Linked DNA regions of Oryctolagus cuniculus. The protein of the gene in region 3 interacts with the protein of the main gene of each other region in a pairwise test. Links are inferred from orthologs where the notes say so. Each region holds a gene or a part of one and is shown on either strand. Other genes may lie near its edges. The genes, in order: CNOT4, MUL1, UBE2E3, RNF167 and RNF111.

Region 1 (4,066 bases), about 110 Mb from region 3:
TTTTTTTTTTTTTTGAAAGGCAGAGAGAGAGTGAGAGAGCAAGAGCAAGCGAGCTTCCATTCATTGATTCACTTCCCAAGTGGCTACAACAACCAGATCTGGACCAGGCAGAAATCAGGAGCCAGGAATTCCATCCTGGTCTCCCATGTGTATGCAAGGGCCCAATTCCTTGGACCATCTTCCACTGCCTTCCCAGTAGCATTAGCCAGAAGCTGGCTTGGAAGTATGGAGTAGCTGGTACTCAAACCAGCACTATGATATGGGATGTTGACGTCACCAGTGGCGGCTAAACCTGTTGCACCAAGCAGTGGCCCCTGCATAGGCTTGCTTCTTTCTCTTCTTTTTCTCTTTCCTTCCTTCCCTCCCTGTCTTCCTGTCTCTACCCCTCCCTCTCCCTCTCCCTCTCCCTCTCCCTCTCCCTCTCCCTCTCCCTCTCCCTCTCCCTCTCCCTCTCCCTCTCTCTCTCTCTCCTTAGTTAGTTATTTACTTACTTACTTGAAAGAGTTACAGAGACAGAGAGAGAGAGAGAGATCTCCCATCTGCTGGTTCATTCCCCAGATGGTCGCAACAGTCACGGCTGGATTATGTAGAAGACAGGATCTTATCCAGTCTCCCATGTGGGTGGCAGGGGCCAAGCAGTTGGGTCATCTGCTGCTGCTTTTCCAGGACCATTACCAGGGATCAAGATGGGAAATGAAGCAGCTGGGACTCAAATCAGAATCATAGGCAGCAATTTTACCTTCTATGCCATAATGCCAGCCCCCTTTCTTTCTTTATTCTTTTTAAATATTTTTTTGTTTGAAAGCCAGAGTGACAGAGATAGGGAGAGGCAGAGAGAAAGAGATCTTCCTTTAACTGGTTCACTTGCCAAATGGCCACAGTGGCCTGGGTTGGGCCAGGCTGAAGCCCAGAACTCCATCCAAGTTTCCCACATGAGTGGCAGGGGCTCAGGTACTTGAACTGTCTTCCACTGCTTTGCGAGGTGCATTAGCAGGTGAACTGGGTCAGAAACAGAGCAGCCAGGAGTTGAATCAGTGCTCCCACATGGGATGCCAGCATCTTCCGTAACAGCTTACCCTTACGCTGCACCACAGTGCTGGTCCCTGTGTGGATTCTTTTTAATGACTGTGGCCACATACTTCAAGAACACTTGTCTTCCTGAAAGTTTTTTCATATAGTTATACATCCTTTTTTTTTTTAATTTCAGGGGAATTTCATGTCCCTTCTTTGAAATTTCCCTTCTTTAGAGTTCACTTTTTGATTAATTAGAAACCATTTTAAGTTGTTCAACCTGGTGATATGACTACTTCAAAGATTAGAATTTGCCCTGGACACCAAGCCTTCCTGTAAATGAGGGTATTCTAGGACTTCCATTTGTCACTGTGATCTCATTTGTGTCTTGTGCAGTTAGGGAGCCAAAGGGAAATTCTAATGATCTTATTTTTGATTCGAATTTTTTTTTCTTGGTTGCAAAATGACCAGTTTTCCTGCCAACCATAGCTAATGGACATAATGTAATTATTCTGTGTTTTTTGTCTCATAGGTTGCAGGTTTTCCCTTACATATTTGACCCATTTAAAAAAATCCTCGATTAGTTTACACAAAGAAGATCAACATAGAGAGTTTGGTACTACTTTAACAAAGAGTCTTTAGATAGAATCTTGATTCATTCTTTCAGTAATAAGTCCTGTGAAATTGGATAAATTATGTTGCAGTCTGTTTTTTTTTTTTTTCTATAAAATGCAGATTATTCCTCCTCCTCTGCCTACCCCACAGGGCTGTTGTGGGGATAATGAAGTAATTGGCTGTGAAGTGCCTTGACAAATGTTACAGCACTACAAATGTAAAATAGCATGGAAATTTAAGAAGGGTGAGGTTTAGTAAATTATATCAGTTGTGAAAAGATGTTTGAAGAATATTTCCCCTTTTGTCTTGTTTGTAAAGTGTAAGGTACTTCTTCTTCATCTTAGTAACCTCAGAGATGGCTTTCATCGGATTTGGTTGTAGTTTTTGGTCTTTTTATAAATAAGGTTAGTCAAGTTAAAGGTTCATTTGCATGATGTAATGTGGCACAGAGCAGTGACTGATACAAAGCAAAATTATAGAAAGAAAATTCCAAATTCACCAGATCAGACAGACTGTGCCTCATAGAACATCATTATCATCGCCATCCTCATTATCATCCTCAATTCTGTAGAGCCAAAAATATTTTTCCTTTTTTTTTTTTTTTTTTTTTTCAAAAACTCCAGTTGGTAATTTGGCCTGTGTTCTTATATTCTAAGCAGTTGTTAGGCTTACCTATGGTGGTAGATCAGGTTAGTCACAATTTCTATAAAGTCTGTTCATTGATAGTGTCTTTTATTTGATGTAACTCATAACTGGATCCAGAAAATTGTAGGAGCCCAGGAGTCAGGTGTTGAATGATAGGCAGAACTGTTGGAGGGCAGTAGGCAGACTGTATTGGAAATTATTCTAAGAGATGTCTTAGCCCCCTGCCTCTTGGCACTACCAGGAAAATGTTCTTTTCAAACTCAGAGAAGCCTGTTCATTACCGTCCTTCACCTCTAAAAAACATTTATATCATTTTATAATCAGAAGAACTTAATCATTTTTCTTTTCCTACTGACTGTGTTTATCCTTCAGAAAATGACTTTTCCATTCAGCGGGCTCAGAAATAGGCTCCTGTAGTGAACTTGGCAGACTTGCGTTTTTCGTAGCGCTCAGCTGGCCAGATGCCTCACTGACACACTTCCTAATGTGGCATCGATCAGATTGTGCTCCCGAGCACTGAGTCTGTACACTGGACTGTGACGTGCACACACGCAATGGTGAAGCTGCTCGAGACAGATGAGAAACTCCTTGTCCTGCCCCTAAAGCAAGTTTTCTCACTTACTTCGGGGGCTCTGAGCTCACGAGCAGAATCCTAACCACGTTTATCTTGCTAGGACAACTTATTTTAAATGCTCAGTAAAGAAAGAGTAAATCTTCTCCCGCTTAACCACTAAAGAACAACACATGTTTCTAACGTCAGCTTTTTATTTTTTTTTTATCTTTCATTTTTTGTTGGTAAATCTCCCAGACAACAGCAGTTCTGTAGAGAGTTTAAATATGAAGGAATGGCAGGACGGGCTAAGGGCACTTCTACCCAACATTAACATCAACTTTGGTGGACTGCCCAATTCTTCTTCCCCCTCCAACGCCAACCACAGTGCACCAACGTCCAACACTGCCACCACCGAAAGCCTGAGTTGGGACAGCCCTGGCAGCTGGACAGACCCAGCCATCATCACAGGTAACTCTCTCACTCCCTTCAGCTCCACTCACTGCCATCGATTTGGTTTTTAGCACAGATTATATTAAGACAGAAGTCTCTTCAACAAAAGTTTCTCTTTACAAAGTCACGAACGTGGGGTGCTTGTCTCATTCTCAGAGGTCATGCAGTCTTGGTGAACCTATCAGCCTAGTCCTGTCCTAAGGCATTGGGTGCCTCATTTGCTTCTTTTGGTCTAAGTAGGTGTTAATGTCTGGCAGCATGCGTGTATTTTGTAGGCCTCAAAGTGCAAAAGGATCTGATTTTAGCCTTCTTATAAGGAACATACTCCACTTTTTTTTTTCTTTTAAATAAAGCTCTCTATTATAAGGCTATCTTGTTGATGTATCCCTGTTAGAGAAGGAAAAGCATGATTGGGAAGTACCACCTTCGGGGTAATCATTTGCAGCTCCGCCTCTGTGACACTGGGGGACTAAGTTTGTGTAGTTGAAGTCAAGGGTTCATGTGACAGTAAATCGTGGTCGTTGTGGCTGGGAGGATGAAAGGAGCATAAGGTTTAAAAGATCTTACGTGGAAGGGGTTGAAGGTCATAATTTCCTTGGGGTTCCTTCTTGGAGAAACTAACCCCTTTTGTTTTTTTCTAAATTTTTTCGGCAAACTTATTCCTTCTGCACAAACTCACCATTTTTCCTCTTTGTTTTCTTTTCTCTCCTTTAGGTATTCCAGCATCTTCAGGAAACAGTTTAGACTCTCTTCAAGACGACAATCCTCCACACTGGCTAAAATCCCTTCAGG
Region 2 (4,773 bases), on a different chromosome or scaffold from region 3:
ACCGGCCCAAGAAAAAGATTTCTATTTGATTCTAAGCATCTTAAAGGAATAGACTAGAAAAATAATGGATAACCAGCTGCTTTTATTTAAAGATTTATTTGAGGGGCCGATGCTGTGGTGCAGTGGGTTAACGCCCTGGCCTGAGGCACCGGCACTGGTTCAAGACTCGGCCGCTCCACTTCCCATCCAGCTCTCTGCTGTGGCCTGGGAAAGCAGCAGAAGATGGCCCAAGTCCTTGGGCCCCTGCACCTATGTGGGAGACCTGGAGGAAGCTCCTGACTCCTGGTTTCTGATTGGCACAGCTCTGGCTGTTGCGGCCAATTGGGGAGTGAACCATCGGATGGAAGACCTCTCTCTGTCTCTCCTCTCTCTGTGTAACTCTTTCAAATAAATAAAGAAATCTTAAAAAAAAAAAGAGATTTATTTGAAAGGCAGAGTTAGAGAGAGACAAAGAGACAGATCTTCCATCCACTGGTTCATTTCCCAAATGGCCCAATGCATTGTCAGAGCTGGGACAGGCCTATCCCAGGAGCCAGGAACTTAATCTGGGTCTCCCATGTGGGTACAGGGGCCCACTCACTTGGGCCATCCTCTGCTGCTTTCCCAGACACATTAGCAGGGAGCTGGATCCCCAGTAGAGCAGCCAGGCCAGGAACCAGCCACCATATGGGATACTAGAGTTGCAGGCTGAGGCTGAACCCACGGAGCCACAAAGCTGGCCCCCGGCTGCTTTTTAAAAAGTTATTTTACTTTTGTGGAGCGATCTCGTTTCTAGCCACGTTTTTACACTGACAGGTTTATTCCGCATTTCCAAGAACTGAAAGCACGCTTTGCGATGACCCAGGGAACAGAGTTGCAGGGTTCTGCAGATCTGCTTGCTAGGGAGCAGGTGCACTGCAGGTCCCACAGCGCCTCCGAGAAGGACCACCTGGGTCCGAAGCCCGCGCCCGGGCCGGCCCCTGCATCTGCAGTCTGCACTATCGCAGGGCTGCGAGGAGTCAGTGGAGGCCTAAGGCACTTTCCGTTCCGTACCTGACACAGAATAGGCACTCAGTAGATGCAATGCCAGCTACTTAATAACCAGTACTTTTCATTCGGTGATGGCCGAGAAGGGGCTACTTCAGCGGCATCATGAGGGCTCTGGAGTCGGGTCACCCCTAACCCCAGGAGGAGGACTCGGAGCACAGCCCCCAACCTCTCTGGCCTTAGCTTTCCCATCTGTAAAGCGGACAAGATAAAGTCCAGGCCTCAAAGTCTGTCCTCAGGTTTAAACGCATCGACACTCCTAAGTGCTTAACACACACTTCTCTTTCCTCCCAATCCAAGGGTGGAGACAGCGCACGACCCAAGAACTCCAGGAAACCACAGGGCTGGGACGAGTCAGTTATGGCCAGGACGCCGCGGGTGGACAGGACAACGGTCACGGCGCCGTGTGCCATCGCTCAGCCGCGAAAAACCGGCTCTCCACACCCGCGGGCCTCAAGAGCCCGGCGGTTGCCCTAGCAACGCCACTTCCGGGCCACTTTGCCCCACTTCCGGTTCCGGCGTTTACGTCATCGCCGGGCGACGGGGCGGGAAGTTCCGGGAAGGGCCGTCCCGGGGGGTGGTGTCCCAGGTGGAGGGCGGGGGTCAGCCGGTCACTCCTGGGCGTCGCTCTGCCCCCGGGGCTTGGCGCCGCCATGGAGAGCGGGGGGAAGCCCTCGCTGGGCCAGTTCATCCTCCTGGGCACCAGCTCGGTCGTCACCGCCGTGCTGTACTCGGTGTACCGGCAGAAGGCCCAGGTCTCCCGAGAGCTCAAGGTCAGTGCGGGAGCCGGCCGGGCCTCAGCCAGGTGGTCTCCGCCCCAGGTCGCGGTGAGGGCTGAGTTGGCGTGGGCCGCCCCGCGGCCGCAGGCTGGGGAGGAGCGAGGGCCGACGTCGGGGCGGTGAGAAGCGCCGCCCGGCTGCGTTTCTCCCAGGTGCCTTCACTCTGGAAGCTCGGCTTCGTTGCCTGGTTTTTAACACGTTTGTGGGGCTCGTGCCGTGCGCGGGGCAGTGAGCAGCCTCTCGCGGGGACGCCCGGCAGCGGCGCCGGGCGGCAGTAAACACGCACGCCACGTGGTGAGACGGGCGTGGAGGGCCGGAGGAAGCGACGTCTGAGCCCCGTGCAGGAGGGGGCGGAGGAGCGGCTCAGACAGGGGCCTGCGCCTGCTGCTGCGGGCCCTGCGTTTTATGTTAGAGTTTTGTGAAAGGCAGAGTTACAGAGAGGAAGTGAGAGGAGGAGATCTTCCCTCCGCGGGTTCACTCCAGAGTGGCCGCAGTGGCCAGGGCTTGGGCCAGACAGGAGCCAGGAGCTCCCTGGGAGGGGCGCGGACACCTGGGTCATCTCCGCTGCTTTCCCAGGCGCACTGGCAGGGAGCCGGGTCCGAAGTGGAGCAGCCGGGACTCCAGCCGGCGCCCCTGTAGGGAGCAGCTGAACCCGCTGGGCCGCAACGCTGGCCTCCCACAATAATTTTTTAAGGTAGATAAAATGATAATTGCCCTTAAATAGCAAAGCAGGGAGTTGAGGTTCAGGAAAAAGGTACTACAGTTAGACAGCTTGGAACTTTAAACCTCGGTTGTTTGATTCCAAAAGTGAGATTTTTATTTTTTCCAGTTGGCCACATTGCTTTATTGGGAATATCTGATTCTTCTAGAGACGGGTCTCTTAGGTCGGAGACAGGGTTTTCTCTCTTTCTTCTCTTAGGGGTTCTAGCTCCGGGCTTGGAGTGCAAGAAGAGTCTTGGGCCTGTATTGGCTGGAGCGCCTCAGTGCCGCAGCTGGGGCTTGACTGACACTTCATTATCATGGGCTGGATTCTGTGAGGGCTTGGAAACAAACGTGTGGCATCCCTGCGGAGAAGGGAGTTTGGGATCTGAAATGAACCAATTTACCAGGCGCTCAATTCGCTGTGCAAATGGCCCCCTGGTGAGATTCCAGCTGCCCTGTTCACCTAATTAAATGATCTAGTCACGCCTGAAGTGCTCGGCTCTTTCTGCCTCCCAAACCAGTGTCTCCTAGCAGTGGCTGGCTGTAGGTGCTTCGAAGGGAGAACCCTGCAGGTCCCATCTTTGGGTGACCCTAAAAGCTTTGCCAATTAGTTCCTGGATGAGCACGAGGTGGCCCCTTCCTGGAGAAAGTTCGGCCCCGACACTTGGGGCTCTGTTTTCTTGATCACATTGGAAAGCTGCCGAAGTAGGGTTTGTGTCTCAGCTGTGTGCCAGCCCCTAGGATCCAAGGTCACATAACCTGCATACAAATCCCAGGAGCTCGTGTTTCCCCCTCTTTTTCCGTTTTCACAACAGACTGGAGACAAGTTGCTCTAGAGCCCCCCCCCCCCCAGCCTGGAAGCCATGCTCGCCCCTCCCCTTTTAAAATCCTCCTCAGCCGCCCTGTGATGGATGCGAGCCATGTGACTCTGGCTTCTGTTCCCTTCTCAGTAATTAGGGATGACAATGGCTACCCTGGCAGGTGGCGTGGACGTCAGATCCTGCCTGTGTCGGCAGTGCCTGGGCTGTGGTGTAGCCAGGTGCTTGTTTAAGCACTGATTTATAGTCAAATATGGACCAGGTGCCTGCTGTGTGTCTGGCCTGTTGTTGGCACTAATGGGACAGCAGTGAACAAGACAAAGAGGTTAACAGTCCAGTGGAGGAGCTAAGTAATACTAAGTAATTGTTGCTGCTGTGTAGGTGCTAATGAAGTTTTTGTTGACTTTTCTCCTGCCATTCGCCGTGTAGCCATAGCTTCTTAAAGTCAGTGACTTTTAATATGTGTCCAGTAACTCTAACCTCTATAGAGGGCACTTACCTGCCTTCTCGAGACTTATTGAGGACAGGAATGTAGCATAGCAGTTGATGCCACTTGGGGTGCCTGCATCTCATACTTGAGTGCCTGGGGTGTTGTTTGTTTTATTTTAGTTTACTTGTAAAGGCTGAGAGAGAGAGAGATGGAGAGATGTCTTGCATCAGCTGGTTCCCTCCCCAGATGTCTGCAACGGCCAAGACTAGACCAGGCCCAAATCAGGAGCCTGGTGCTGGATCTCCATCTGTGTCTCCCCTGTGGGTGGCAGGGCCCAAGCCCTTGAGCCGTCATCTGCTGCTTCCCAGCATGCATTAGCAGGCGTGTTGGATTGGAAGTGGAGTAGCCTTAACCTGAACCGGTGCTGTGGTGTGGGGTGCGGGCATCCTTAGCGGGGTCTTAACCTGCCGAGCCACAGCAGCTGCCCTGGTTTAGGTGATTTTACCTAAGCTGTTGTGCCATAGCTCTTTGTTGTCAAGAAGAGACTGAGTGGTGACCAGTGCGCAGTATGCAGACTGACGGTGCCTTTTATGTTTTGAGTGTATGTTTTAGTTACTGGGTGGCACAACGTTCCCCATGGTGGGGTGTGCAGGAAGGAGGCTGCCTGTGCCTGTGTGTGTGACAGCTCTCTGCAGGGCTTTGAAATTACATTCTCCACCTATGCCCAGTTTCCTCATTCTCTCAACATGGAAACAGTAGCAAAAAATGCCCCAAGTACTTGAGCCCCTGCCAGCCACGTGGGAGACCTGAATGGAATTACAGGCATCTGGCTTTGGCCTGGTCTGTTGTGACCATCTGGGGAGTGAACCAATAATGGAAGATATCTTTCTGTCTCTCCCTCCGGCTCTGTCACTCTGCCTGTCAAATAAAATTAATCTTTTTTTTAAAAAAGTTTTTTTTTTGCCTTTCAGTTGATTGAACGTGTCAGGATGTATTGGTTAATATGTTCTTTCTGCAT
Region 3 (3,910 bases):
AAAACTTCCAAAGACTATTTGGCATTCTTATTTAACCATTTGTTTTCCCTGATCTTAGACACAGCACTGAAATGTAATGAATTTGGGGGTGTGGGGGAGGATAAGATATACAGCCTTGAGTTAAAAGCAGGGCAAAAAGTAGTTCCCTGATTTTCTTCAAATTTAAGACTCTTTCAAAACTTAAAATGTGTTTAATATATTCTCCAAGACTACAATAAATTGCAGATTTAAATTACATCCAAGATTGAAGCCATTTGATAAAATATTCTCAAGTTATTAAAACCTGGTTACTGATATAATAAAGGTGTATATCCATTAAAAACAGCATTTCTGAATCACTATAAAATGCAGTTATTTGATCAGCTTTTGCATTTTCTTTTTCTTTTAGTTGTAGTCAACAACAACAAAAAATCAAAATGTCACTGCTGGTTAATACTGCAGACACATTTTACGTGTAATTACAGTTCCACAAGGCACTCCACTACTGCTACCGACCGAGTCTCACTGACAGAAGCAGTGTTTTCCCCTCATAGAAAATAGAAATCAACAAGAAACAAATGATCTTTCACTTACACCCAACAAAATATGTTTCTCCTGCTGTTGAATATTAGTGTGTCAAGCACACCTAGGAGTTTGAGTGAGGAGTCAATGACAATTTCAAAGACAATGAAAGTTTCCAATTAGCAACTGACACCTGAAATGGAAATGGCTACTTTTCAACTGCATTTGCCTTCACAAGATGAAGGGGGTAACCACCATTTAACTACCAAAAGTTATACCCTTGATGCAGAAGTAAAAGTCTTGTTTGAAAAAGTGAAATCGATTCAGGGCATAATTTTCAATCTGCTTTCAAATACATAGCCAAGGCCTGGGATTTATAAGTTTCCCATCCAACGTGATCATTTCTGATCATTCAGCTGCAGAAAGGGGAGCACTGCTGATCAATTCCACCATAGAAGGTATGACCCACAACAGGAAACATCCCCTGTGTACCACCTCATCTGGGTCCACCAAATTTCTCCTTGCCAATTCCTTAATCTGTCAGAATGCTAGTCCAATCTCCAATCAAGGACGTTCTCACTGAGGTTACCAGAGTACACAGTAAGTTTGCTTAAAAGTACAATTCTAGCAAGGTCGCTCATCCGACCACCTCCTGAAGAATGACATCTCATTCAGGTACAAATCCAATTGGTCGTGAAGTATTTCTCAACTATCAGTAGTGTGTAAAACCAACAGAAGCAGCAGACCATTTGTAAGACAGCCGGAGGGTGCCCTCGCCCCTCGGTTTACACATTACCTTTTAGCACTAGTGGATAACTTAGCAGTGGTTTTGCTAGAGAGTTTGGTGTTCTTCTTCTGCTGGGTGGCAGAAGGTTTTCTTTCTTCTTGTTCCTCAGGCTCTGGAGCGGCTGGGTCTCTCTGGTCCGCATCTGAACTGCCACTGCTGGTGCTGGGGCTCTCATCGTCGGACCTCTGCCTATCACTGGACATCTTGGTGAAGTGACCTCTTGGAAAACTTTTGAAGAGAGGGAGGGAGGGGAAGGAAAGGTTAGCTCTAGGAAATAAACCAGCAGCATTCTCTCCTCCTGGGAGACCCCTAAAATGGTATTTTAATGAAAAAGCGCCAGGAGGGTTCACACTTATCTCACCGTGCACCAAGGTTACAGGGGAGGTGATGTGTGTCTCTCAACACCAGCACGCAGGGACTGACCGGACTCAAGTTAGAAAACCCACTCACATTTTTCCCCCAGCCCCTTGGACAATCTATCAATTGTCTACTTTCTGAGAAGGCATGAGACAGATCTGCCAGGAAACTTAACATATGACACGCTGTAAATAACAGATCTCGCTGAAAAATGTGAAAAAGTCACTAATAACGTCTAAATATTTACACACTGACATTGGTCAAAGCCACCAAATTCCCCTCCCGAGAGGAAAACATACCCTGTTAATCGCCCATATGCTTATTTAACGTGGCGATCCCCCCCCCCCTCCTCTGTGCACGTAAAGCCTTCAAACACTACACTTAAAAAATTTTAAAAATCAACTAACGAGCTGCTCCAGCCGCCTCCACGGCCAGCAGCGAAGACTCAGCCGGCCAAGACCGAGCTGCCATCCTGGGAAGAGCAGAATCCAAACTGCACCTTCTGCAAAGCTCCCAATGCCACCAAGGTCCCTCGCTCAATTTTTACATCACGGACCGACATTTTGTCCAAAATAATGAGAAGAGGAGGGGGGGGAAAAAAAGCCCAGAGGCAAAACAAACAAACAAACAAAGCCCCAAGAAGTGCAACAAATTTCCGCGCCCGCCGAGGCGAGCCGGGGCCGGCGGCGGCGGCGGCGGCAGCGGCGGCCACGCAGCTCCGCGGCCCTTTGTGGGGAGGGCCGCGCGGGGGCCGCGGGCAGCGCTCGCCGCGCCGGGCGCCAAGTGATGCGAGCGGCCCGGCCGGCCCCGCCGCGGCTCGCGGACACCGGCGGCGCGGGCGCCCGGCGCGAACAAAGCTGCCCGCCCCCGCCCCCTCCCCCACCGCCGCCGCCGCCCCGGCCGCCCCCCACGCGGCCCCCCGGCCCCGCCGCCTTACCTCGGCCGCCCGCCCGGCCCGCTCGCGCGCCGCTACGGTGTGGGGGAGGGAGAGAGAAAAAAACCCTTCCTTAAGGAAATGGAGGCAGCTGGGGGGGGGGAAAGGGGGGGGAGGGAAAAAAAGAAGCCGAGGAGGCTCTGGCCGGGGAGTGTGGAACATTGAAAGTCGGAGGGGGTTGTGCAGTGCCGGGCTCCGGCCGGAGGGTGGCGCCGCCCAGCGCCTTCGGGAAAAAGTGGGGGGTGGGAGCTCGCCTGGGCGAGGGCGCGAGCTCCCGGCGAGGCGGAGGGGACGCGGGAGACCCCCGCGCGCTGTGGCCTCCCGCCGCCGCCGCCGCCGCCGCCGCCCGGCTCGGCTCCTCCCGGCCGCGCAGTCAGCAAGTTCCGAGGCGAGCGCGGGGGGAGGGGCGGGCGCGGCGGCGGCGCGCGTGCTCGCTGCTTGCCTGGCGGAGGGGCGCGCGCCGCCGGCGGGCACGAGCCGTTCTCGCGCGCTCCCGCACGCTCGCTCTCCGCACCTCCCTTCACCCGGGGGGGCGCACGCGTTCGCCCGCGCGCGGCCAGGACAAAGAGCGCGGCGGGGACCCGGCGGGCTGGCCCCTGCCGCCCTGGGCCGCGGAGTCGGTGCAGGAGGAGGCGGGGGCGCGAGCGCCGTCTCGCGGGGCCGCCGTGCCGCGGGGTGGCTTCCGGCCTGGGCCCGCCTCCGGGGCGAGGCTGCCCATTGGGCTACCCGCCTCCCCGGGGCTTGACTACATCCCTCGGACCTGCGCGGGGGCGGCCGTGCGCCTCGGGTCCTCAGTAGCCGAGGCCAGCCCTGGACGCGTGGTGGGGAGTCCCCTGCTGCTCCGGGAGCCCGGAGATGGATGGGTGTTGACGAGCCGGGCTCGCGGACCGGGGAGAGCTGCGTCTTGCCCCTCCTGTGAGCAGAGGCAGGGGCAAGGTAGGGTCCTGGGCGTTGAAGGAGGCAGAAAGGCATTAGGCTGGGAGACCAGCCTCTGCTTCTCTTGTGGCTCTCAGCGTGCAGCTGTCGCTGCCAAAGGGGACTGCCCTTCGGATGCTTTGAAAACTTAAAAAATCCAACGCAGTTTTTTAAATGTCCCGCTCAAGATGTTAAAAAGTGGAAGAAGGGAGAGGGTGTGCCTGAGACCTGACACTTCCCCACAGGACCGTTCTGCCTTTCACGGGAGACACCAGTTCTGGAAAGAGCAGCCCTGCGTGCTTCTGCACAGACCAGCTTCTAGGTGGGCATAATTGGAGGTTGGTTTTGTTTCACCACGCTTCTTGCATAGTCTGCAGGTGGACACTGCGGTGCTTGCCCCAGGCGCTAAGTAGCCA
Region 4 (4,731 bases), on a different chromosome or scaffold from region 3:
CTAGGAAAAGCAGTGGAAGACGGCCCAAGCCCTGGGGGCCCTGCCCCAATGTGGGACACCCGGTGAAGCTCCTGGCTCTGGCCTGGCCCAGCCCTGGCCATTGCAGCCATCTGGGGAGTGAACCAGCAGATGGAAGCTCTTGCTCTCCCTATCTTTCTCTCTCTCTCTGTAACTCTGCCTTTCAAATAAATAAGTCTTAAAAAGAAAAAGAAAAGCAAGTCATTTCATTCTAGATCCCGGGGATCGGGGCTGAGGTCAGGCTCCGAGTTGGAACTCACCGGCCATCGGCAGTCATGCGGATCAGAGCCACCTCCGCTGGTGTTCCCACAAAAGCACCAGTTGCACCTGCGGTCATGCCAATCACAGCCTTTAGCAGAAAGCCAGGGGGTGTCCCATCAGCCCCAGTCAGGCGCTCAAACAGCACGGTATAGATGCCAAGACGAGTAGTGGTGTAGGTGGCCTGGCGCAGCAGGCCAGCTGACAGCCTGGAGAGCAGAGGGGTCAGTGTGTGGGGCCAAGGCTTGCATCTGCCAAACCCACACCCTCCCCCCAACCTTGGAGGCCCCAGTACCCGGTGTAAATGCCCCTTATCCCTTCCGCCTTCAGGATGCTGGTAAGGGCATGGAAGCTGGTTTTGTACTCTTTGGTCTTGGCACCTTCCCCGCTCAGCTGCATCCGGTTCTTCACCAGGTCCAGGGGCTGCACAAAAACCGTAGCTCCCATCCTGGAGGAAGGTGGGAGCAGGGTCAAGGGCCACGTGTGCAAGATCTCCCGCTGCCTACTGCAGCCTAGCACAAGGGGTTACTAAGGTCAGGGCCTGCCTCGGATTAGGGATTAAGGAGGGCTGGTAGGCATGTGTCTGACAGTCTCTGTGTGTACCAACAGCAGCGGGTTCTGGAAAGTCCATTGTCCATTAGGGGTCATGCAATGAAACTACTCCAAGCAGATCCACGGGAGTCCATCGGTGGGCCCGGTGGGCCGGGACCGCATGCAGTGCGACCCAGGGAGCGGGCCAAGGGCGTATCCACGACCTGGGGCACTAAGTAGTCCCCTAGAGTCATGGAACCCTAAACAGCCCTGCGGAACCAAGCAACGGACTGGGGAGGTGCGGGGTGGGGGATCGTGCCAAGACCCTGCATGCAGTCAGGGGCAGCCCATCAGGAACCTCCCAACACGCTGGGGATCGCGCTGACCCTCAAGCAGGCTCAGTTCACTGAAACAGTCCCAGAGATGAACCGGGCCCGTCCGTCCCTTCCTCCTCCTTTCCCATCCCTGGGGCCTGAGCTTACCCGGCCAGGCCCCCAAACAGGAACTTGACGGACTTAGGGGAGGTACGGGGCTTCCCGTCCATCCCGCCGGCCCCGGGACTCGCCGTCGCCGCCATCGCCACTCAATGGCCCTGGCTCCGGGTCCCGAGAGCGCGCGGCCCCGCTCGCGCCCAAGGTGACACCGCGCGCGCAACAGGGCGAGGGCGCGCGCGCACGCCCCTCCGGCTCCCAGGTCCAGCACCAGCTGCAAGCCGGCGCCCGCGCAGGCGCAAAGCGCAAAGGCCGCCGGGAGTAAGGCGACCCTGAAGGAGGAGCTTAAAGGCTGCGTGCGGGAAGGGGCGTGGCTTGGTTGGAAACTGGCGTATAGGCACAGTCTTCACCGACTTGGAATCGCGGGAAACTAGACAAGCTGTTCGAGGTCTCGCGAGATCTAGTCAGTCCGGCTCCCAGAGTTAGGAGGGCTCTCGCGATATGTAGAGCAAGCTTTCGGCAGCCGTGGGGGCGGGGGAGTGGGCTGGTAAGCCTTCTCGCGAGACTTGCAGGTGCGGCGGCAGCGGCGGCCACAGGGAGCGGAGAGGTTTGTAAACAGGGAAGCCCCAGGTTCCCGGGCACTAAGGGGGAAATGATTCGCTCTTCTTCTGGGGGGCAGCCGTGCGCCCTCCGTTTCCACAGACAATCCCTCCATCTCTAATTTTTCTCTTAACCGGCCTTTCAGGACCGGAAGTCCTTCATCTTGAGCGGCCAATGCTGGAAGCGGCCTGACTCTTTGTCGGAAACCTTTTTCCCAGGGATAGGAAGACGGCCCACCTGGCCGGAAGTCCCACCTCCCGGGGCTCCCCCACCCTTCCAGAAGTTTTGCTGTCACCTGTGTTTCCTTCCGTCCCCTCTCCCCGTTTTGTCCCCAATCCAGAAAAGGGTCCATTTAGAGTCTCCGACCCAGCTCCGCTAAACGGGCTTGGGGCCTCGCTCCCCGGGTCGGGGTTCCTTCCCCGGCGCCCCCATGTAGCTGGGAAGTGGGACCTGGGGGTGGTTGGACCCCTGGGATCCTGAGGGAGCGGCGGGGAGGGCGCAGAGCCCCGCTTCTGCTTCTGCTCCCGGGCCGCGGCCTCCTCGGCCTCTCCCCGCCCGCTGCCATGCACCGCGCGGCCTTCCCGCTTCCTGTGGTTGTGGCCGCCGTGCTGTGGGGAGCAGCCCCCATCCGGGGCCTCATCCGAGCGGTGAGTCTGTGGGGCGGGTGGAGGAAGGGCGCCGGAGGGGGGCGTTGCGGGCCGGAGGGGAACGTGGACGTTTTGTGCCCCCAGACCTCGGAGCACAATGCCAGCATGGACTTTGCAGACCTGCCAGCTCTGTTTGGGGCCTCCCTGAGCCAGGAGGGACTCCAGGTGATTGGCGTTCTTTTTTTTTTTTTTTTCCCCTCCCCTCTTTGTCCAAATCCTCCATCCTGGGCGGGGTTGAGGAGCCATGCCCCGGGTCTGGCTGGGGATAGTTAGAGTCCGGTTAGGATCGAAGTGCGTGAACATGCGTGGAATCCAGAATCTAGGGGAAGAAGACAGTGCCCACTCTCCACTCTGGGCTTACCCGGAGACTGCAAAGGCGATGACTGGCGCTCAGCAGTAGGGTCCCCAGCCAGCTATTGGTCGCATGACCTTCGATATCATCTCTCTGAGCCTTTGATTACTGCGAAGTGGGGTGATCATGGAAGTTACTTCAGAGTTACCGTGATTACAATTAGATAAGTTAAATTAGTGACAATTGGATAAGCGGCGTTGCAGGACTTTATTGCCAGGGCTGCCACATAGCAGCTCTCGGTGGGCTGCAGATTTGGGTGTAGATGGGTAGTTGGGAAACTGACTGAAGGGAGGGCAGTGTGGACTGGAGCTGCGAATGTAAAACAATTTAGGAAAACGTGGCTGCGTAGAGAATGGAATTACAATCTGTGGGGAAGCTGAATCTGCGGGACTGCGTCAGTGTAGGTATGGCGTGCAGGCAGGCGACCTGGGACGGGAGAGGCAGCTGTTTGATGTGGCTGCACTTTCAGGAGGCTGAGGGAGGAGACAGACTCTGGTTTGGGTGGGGTGCCGAGACCCAGGAGTGAGAAGGAAGTGAGGACAGAGGCTGTGTGGTATGGGGGGGCCAGAACCTAGAGAGGAGAAACCTAACTGTCATCTGCCTCTCTCCCGCAGGGGTTCCTTGTGGAGGCTCACCCAGACAATGCCTGCAGCCCCATTGCCCCACCACCCCCAGCCCCGGTCAATGGGTCAGTCTTTATTGCACTGCTTCGAAGATTCGACTGCAACTTTGACCTCAAGGTTGCTGAACGTGGAGTGGGAGCTGGGAAGCTAAGGGTGAAAAAGAGTGGACCAGAAATGAAGCAAGGCAAGGCCCATGATGGCTCCCTACCCCTGCCTTGTTTCGCTAGGTCCTGAATGCACAGAAGGCCGGGTACGGGGCAGCCGTGGTGCACAACGTGAATTCCAACGAACTTCTGAACATGGTGTGGAACAGTGGTAAGTGGGTGGCTCTGCGAGGCGGGGTTTGTCGGAGAGCTGACAGAGCTGGTGGGAGGGCTGACGGCTCAGGCCAAAGCAGCCAGTATTTTGGGTGGGAGGGGACAGACGCGTCAGCCGGCAGGGCTCCCCGAGGGCCTGAGAAGTGGAGGGTGAGCCCCCCCAACAGCGTGCTCCTTGCAGAGGAAATCCAGCAGCAGATCTGGATCCCGTCAGTGTTCATCGGGGAGAGGAGCTCCGAGTACCTGCGCGCCCTCTTTGTCTATGAGAAGGGGTAGGACACGCGCCTCCCTCCCTCTCCTCCTGGCCCCCAGCACTCAGCTCAGGTCACTCCTGCCCCGCCCCGCCCCGTGGCCGCAGCACCAGTTACTCTGTCCTGTGTGCTTTGTCCTCCGGCCTTTCTTGCCCCTGTGACACTGTTGTCCCTTCCCTAGGGCTCGGGTGCTTCTGGTTCCAGACAACAGCTTCCCTCTGGGCTATTACCTCATCCCGTTCACCGGGATTGTGGGACTGCTGGTTTTGGCCATGGGAGCGGTGATGGTGAGTAGCTCAGGGGACATGATAGGAAGAGCTGGACTTAGGAACCCAGATTGGAACTGGAGGCAGAGTTCACACTTGTCCGGTTTTCTTCTGAGTCTGATCCGTCCACCTCCCTTCCCCCAGATAGTTCGTTGTATCCAGCACCGGAAACGGCTCCAGCGAAATCGACTCACCAAAGAGCAGCTGAGACAGATTCCTACGCATGATTATCAGAAGGGTAAGGGCCGAGGGGAGAGGAGAGCCATTTTCAGAGCTTACCTGGTTCTGAGTTTGACGTGGGCGATGAGGAGTGAAAAAGATGGCAGTGAGAGGGCCTCAACTGGAGGTGCCACCTTTCTCTTTACCCAGAAAATCAGTGGGGACGGGAGATGGGACGAAAAGGTGCTGGAGTGAGGCAGCTGGGGAGATAATGCAGG
Region 5 (4,066 bases), on a different chromosome or scaffold from region 3:
AGCAGAGAGCTGGCCTGGAAGAGGGGCAACTGGGACAGAATCCGGCGCCCCGACCGGGACTAGAACCCGGTGTGCCGGCGCCGCTAGGCGGAGGATTAGCCTAGTGAGCCGCGGCGCCGGCCTTTTTTTTTTTTTTTTTTTTTTTAAGATTTATTTACTTATTTCAAAGGCAGAGATACAGGGAGAAAGAGAGATATCTTCCATTCTTTGGTTCACTCCCCAAATGGCCTCAATGGCTGGGGCTCCTCCAGAAGCTGAAAGCTTCTTCTGGGTCTCCCACGTGGGTGCAGGGGCCCAAGCACTTGGACCATCTTCTTCTGCCTTCCCAGCTGCATTATCAGGGAGCTGGTCGGAAATGAGCAGCTGGGACTTGAACTGGCGCCCATGTGGCATGTCTGCACGGCAGGTGGAGGCTTAGCTTTCTAAACTGCAGCACTGGCACGAAGACTATTATCTTGAGGTTGAGTTTTGTTGGAAAATTCTGTGCATTTTTATCTATTGATAAGATCACGGGCCAGTGCCGTGGCTCAATAGGCTAATCCTCCACCTAGCGGCGCCAGCACACCGGGTTCTAGTCCTGGTCGGGGCACCGGATTCTGTCCCGGTTGCCCCTCTTCCAGGCCCACTCTCTGCTGTGGCCCAGGAGTGCAGTGGAGGATGGCCCAAGTGCTTGGACTCTGCACCCCATGGGAGACCAGGAAAAGCACCTGGCTCCTGCCGTCGGATCAGCGCAGTGCGCCGGCTGTAGTGCACCAGCCGCGGCGGCCATTGGAGGGTGAACCAACGGCAAAGGAAGACCTTTCTCTCTGTCTCTCTCTCACTATCCACTCTGCCTGTCAAAAAAAAAAAATAATAATAAGGTCATATAATTTTCCTCTTGAAGTTTGAGGTACCAAGAGCATCAGGATTATGTGAGAGTGTTTGCTACATAGGATTCTTTATGTAAATCAGGAAATCTTTATTTCATGAAACAACTGTTTTTTTTTTCTATTCTGATCATATTGTTAGTGTTATGAGAGGTTTTTTTTTTTAGAGATTTATTTATTTGAGGGACAGAGTTACATAGAGGTGGAGGAAGGGAGGGACGGAGAGAGGGGAGGGGAGAGAGAGAGGGAGAGGGGTCTTCCATCCACTCTTCCATCCACTGGTTCACTCCCCAGATGGCCACAACAGCTGGAGCTGGGCTGGTCTGAAGCCAGGAGTCAGGAGCTTCTGTGTATCCCACACGTGTGCAGGGGCCCAAGGACTTGCCTCATCTTCCACTGCTTCCCAGGCCATAGCAGAGAGCTGGATTGGAAGTGGAGCACCTGGGACTAGAACTGGTACCCATATGGGATGCTGGCACTGCAGGTGGTGGCTTTACCTGCTACACCAGTGCCAGCCCCACTACTGAATGCTTAGTTGTACTTATGTGTATTTACTAAGGTTGATTGAATTTTTGAGTACTTGGAGAGCAATGAATATCTTGAATTATTCAGTGTTAATAGTCAGTTACACATCTGTTCTTAACTGATTTAGTCTGTCTTTTTTTTTTTTTTTTTTTTATTAAAACAGGTTCCTGACATGGCAGGCTATCCTCATATCCGTTACATTTCATCAGGATTGGATGGAACATCATTCAGAGGTCCTTTCAGGGGCAATTTTGAGGTATGTAATAAGTGAAGATATGTATCACAGTATTTTCAGTGCAGAAGAATATATATATAGATATGTTGCTAGTATTCATAATTACGTAGGACTAATACAATGACTGGGAATCATGAAGCAGTAAAATGTACCATTTTCTGATATTGCTTCTGGGGTTATAGAAAATTTGATAGGAAACATTAATCTTAGGTTAAAAAGTATTTAAAGAATAAATTAAAATATCTAAATATAAAGATATATTAAATCAGTATAAAAATAGTGAACAATATAATTTAATGTATGGGGAAAACCTTGATGCTTTTTTTTTTCTGGTTTTAATGATTTATTTATTTCGGGACAGGCATTGTGGTATATTGGGTAAAGCTTCTGCTTACAGTGCCAGCATCCCATGAGTGTTTTCAAATAAATAAATCTGCAGAATTACAAAGAGAGAGACAGATCTTCCATCCTGTGGTTCACTCCCCAAATGACCACAAGGGCTAAGGCTGCACCAGACCAAAGCGAGGAGCTCCCACATGGGTGCAGGGGCTCAAGCACTTGGGCCAACTTCCACTGCATTCCTAGGCATATTAGCAGGAAGGTGCATCAGACATGGAGTAGCCAGCATTGGAACTGGGTCCCATACAGTGTGCCAGTATTGTAGGCAGCGGCTCAACCTGCTGCACCACAAAGCCAGCCCCAAACCTTTGCCTTTGCCTGAGCTTAATTTTTAGTGAAACATTGCTGGAGACAAAAATAGCTTAAATAATTTACTTTGTAGCTAAATATTTCAAGTCCTTGTTTCTTCATGTTAGTTTAGAAATTACAGTTGATATGATTTATGAAAATTGTTTAATTTGCTTCCCTAATTTGCTAGAATGAATGATTTCTTCTACATGTGTACAAACTTACTGATTTTGTAATACCATGTGGTAATACTTATATTGTTACCCAAATTTATAAGGATGACTTTGTGAAACTACTTCAGGTGGCTGAGCAAAAAATTTTGAAACCATCATTTGCTATACCATATATAAGAACTGTTGTGTAAACAAACTGTTACCTTGTCAAATGTAAGATTATTACTCCTGTACAGTATTGACAACATTGTTTAAAATATTATCGTCCTGGCTTTTAATCGTAGTTACCCTTCCCTTTCAGGAACTGATTCATTTGGAAGAAAGATTAGGAAATGTCAATCGTGGAGCATCCCAGGGGACAATTGAAAGATGTACATATCCCCATAAATATAAAAAGGTAAGAAATTATTCCATGAAACTTCTAGAATATTATTGAAATGTGTAACGTTCAGTATTATGGCTTTCCGTTGAACTTGTGGAACCTAGTAGATATGTTATTTATTTACTTACTTATTTTTAAAGATTTATTTATTTGAGAGGCAGAGTTACAGAGAGACAGAGAGCAGTCTTCTATCCACTGCTTCACTCCTCAAATGGCTGCAACAGCCAGAGCTGGACCAATCTGATGCCAGGAGCCAGGAGCTTCTTCCAGGTCTCCCACATGGGTGCAGCAGCTCAAGCACTTGGGCCATCTTCCACTGCTTTCCCAGCTATTAACAGAGAGCTTGATCAGAAGTGGAGCAGTCAGGATACTTACCGGCTCCTATATGGAATGCTGGCACTCTCTGTTATTACTGAAGCAAAATATACTTAGGATTAACATTTTCTTGGAAGTACAGAAATAAATTCTTCTTCCAGAATTTTTGTGCCTTCTATAATGTACACACACACACACACATATATTTCTTTTGCATTAAAACATAATACAAAGAGGATGATGTGCAGATAGTTTTGTATGTTGCCTTTGTATTCTGTCAGTACTCAGCTCACCTATATATTTTTTTTTCAAGATTTATTTACTTATTTGAAAGAGTTACAGAGAAAGGGAGAGAGAGAGATAGTCCAGGCACTTGGTTAACTCCCCAGATGGCTACAACAGCTGGGTCTGGGTGAGGCCGAAGCCATGAGCCAGGAGCCTTCTGCAGGTCTCCCATAGGGTAGCAGTGACACAAGCAGTTGGGTCATCCTCTGCTGTTTTTCCCAGGCCTGTAGCAGGGGGCTGGATCCAAAGTGGAGCAGCCAAGACTTGGACTGGCACCCCTAATGGGATGCTGGCACTGCAGGCCACAGCTTTACCTACTAAGCCACAGCTACATTCTTCTTAATAGTTTACATCATGACAATACTGTAATTTTTTTTTTTTTTAAGTAATCACTTACCTTGATGGATATTTAGTTGCTCTATAATTCTAATATTTCCTTCCTTGGAAGTTAAGAGTAGACATGTCAAATAAGTTTCTTAAATGATGCTCTGTGCTATACAGAGAATAATATTAAGGTGTAAAAATGACTCTTCTTTATATTTTTCATCTGTTTATAAGAGTATTAGTGAAGTGTTGCAACTAAATTTAAGTTCTTTCA

The links.
Region 1: the proteins of UBE2E3 (region 3) and CNOT4 interact in a two-hybrid assay, tested with the Homo sapiens proteins (3 studies listed by BioGRID and IntAct). The link is inferred for Oryctolagus cuniculus from reciprocal best matches to the Homo sapiens genes UBE2E3 and CNOT4.
Region 2: the proteins of UBE2E3 (region 3) and MUL1 interact in a two-hybrid assay, tested with the Homo sapiens proteins (2 studies listed by BioGRID and IntAct). The link is inferred for Oryctolagus cuniculus from reciprocal best matches to the Homo sapiens genes UBE2E3 and MUL1.
Region 4: the proteins of UBE2E3 (region 3) and RNF167 interact in a two-hybrid assay, tested with the Homo sapiens proteins (2 studies listed by BioGRID and IntAct). The link is inferred for Oryctolagus cuniculus from reciprocal best matches to the Homo sapiens genes UBE2E3 and RNF167.
Region 5: the proteins of UBE2E3 (region 3) and RNF111 interact in a two-hybrid assay, tested with the Homo sapiens proteins (2 studies listed by BioGRID and IntAct). The link is inferred for Oryctolagus cuniculus from reciprocal best matches to the Homo sapiens genes UBE2E3 and RNF111.

What each region holds. Positions count from the first base shown.
Region 1 is NC_091434.1:171,179,775-171,183,840, reverse strand, and holds part of CNOT4 (CCR4-NOT transcription complex subunit 4), read left to right. Parts: intron 1-3,079; coding exon 3,080-3,292; intron 3,293-3,988; coding exon 3,989-4,066. UniProt on the Homo sapiens protein: Has E3 ubiquitin ligase activity, promoting ubiquitination and degradation of target proteins. Involved in activation of the JAK/STAT pathway. Catalyzes ubiquitination of methylated RBM15.
Region 2 is NC_091438.1:150,240,899-150,245,671, forward strand, and holds the start of MUL1 (mitochondrial ubiquitin ligase activator of NFKB 1), read left to right. Parts: upstream 1-1,562; 5' UTR 1,563-1,679; coding exon 1,680-1,799; intron 1,800-2,724; exon of another isoform or gene 2,725-2,897; coding exon of another isoform or gene 2,898-2,945; intron 2,946-4,773. UniProt on the Homo sapiens protein: Exhibits weak E3 ubiquitin-protein ligase activity. E3 ubiquitin ligases accept ubiquitin from an E2 ubiquitin-conjugating enzyme in the form of a thioester and then directly transfer the ubiquitin to targeted substrates.
Region 3 is NC_091434.1:59,977,494-59,981,403, forward strand, and holds the start of UBE2E3 (ubiquitin-conjugating enzyme E2 E3), read right to left. Parts: upstream 1,945-3,910; intron 1,517-1,944; 5' UTR 1,492-1,516; coding exon 1,298-1,491; intron 1-1,297. Other genes in the region: translation initiation factor IF-2, read left to right, coding at 2,221-2,619, 2,696-3,646. UniProt on the Homo sapiens protein: Accepts ubiquitin from the E1 complex and catalyzes its covalent attachment to other proteins. In vitro catalyzes 'Lys-11'- and 'Lys-48'-, as well as 'Lys-63'-linked polyubiquitination.
Region 4 is NC_091448.1:51,300,429-51,305,159, reverse strand, and holds the start of RNF167 (E3 ubiquitin-protein ligase RNF167), read left to right. Parts: upstream 1-1,708; 5' UTR 1,709-1,845; intron 1,846-1,983; 5' UTR 1,984-2,401; coding exon 2,402-2,485; intron 2,486-2,569; coding exon 2,570-2,650; intron 2,651-3,451; coding exon 3,452-3,577; intron 3,578-3,687; coding exon 3,688-3,775; intron 3,776-3,958; coding exon 3,959-4,049; intron 4,050-4,209; coding exon 4,210-4,315; intron 4,316-4,438; coding exon 4,439-4,532; intron 4,533-4,731. Other genes in the region: SLC25A11 (mitochondrial 2-oxoglutarate/malate carrier protein), read right to left, coding at 279-485, 572-724, 1,290-1,384.
Region 5 is NC_091443.1:81,954,157-81,958,222, forward strand, and holds part of RNF111 (E3 ubiquitin-protein ligase Arkadia), read left to right. Parts: intron 1-1,554; coding exon 1,555-1,647; intron 1,648-2,787; coding exon 2,788-2,883; intron 2,884-4,066. UniProt on the Homo sapiens protein: E3 ubiquitin-protein ligase. Required for mesoderm patterning during embryonic development. Acts as an enhancer of the transcriptional responses of the SMAD2/SMAD3 effectors, which are activated downstream of BMP.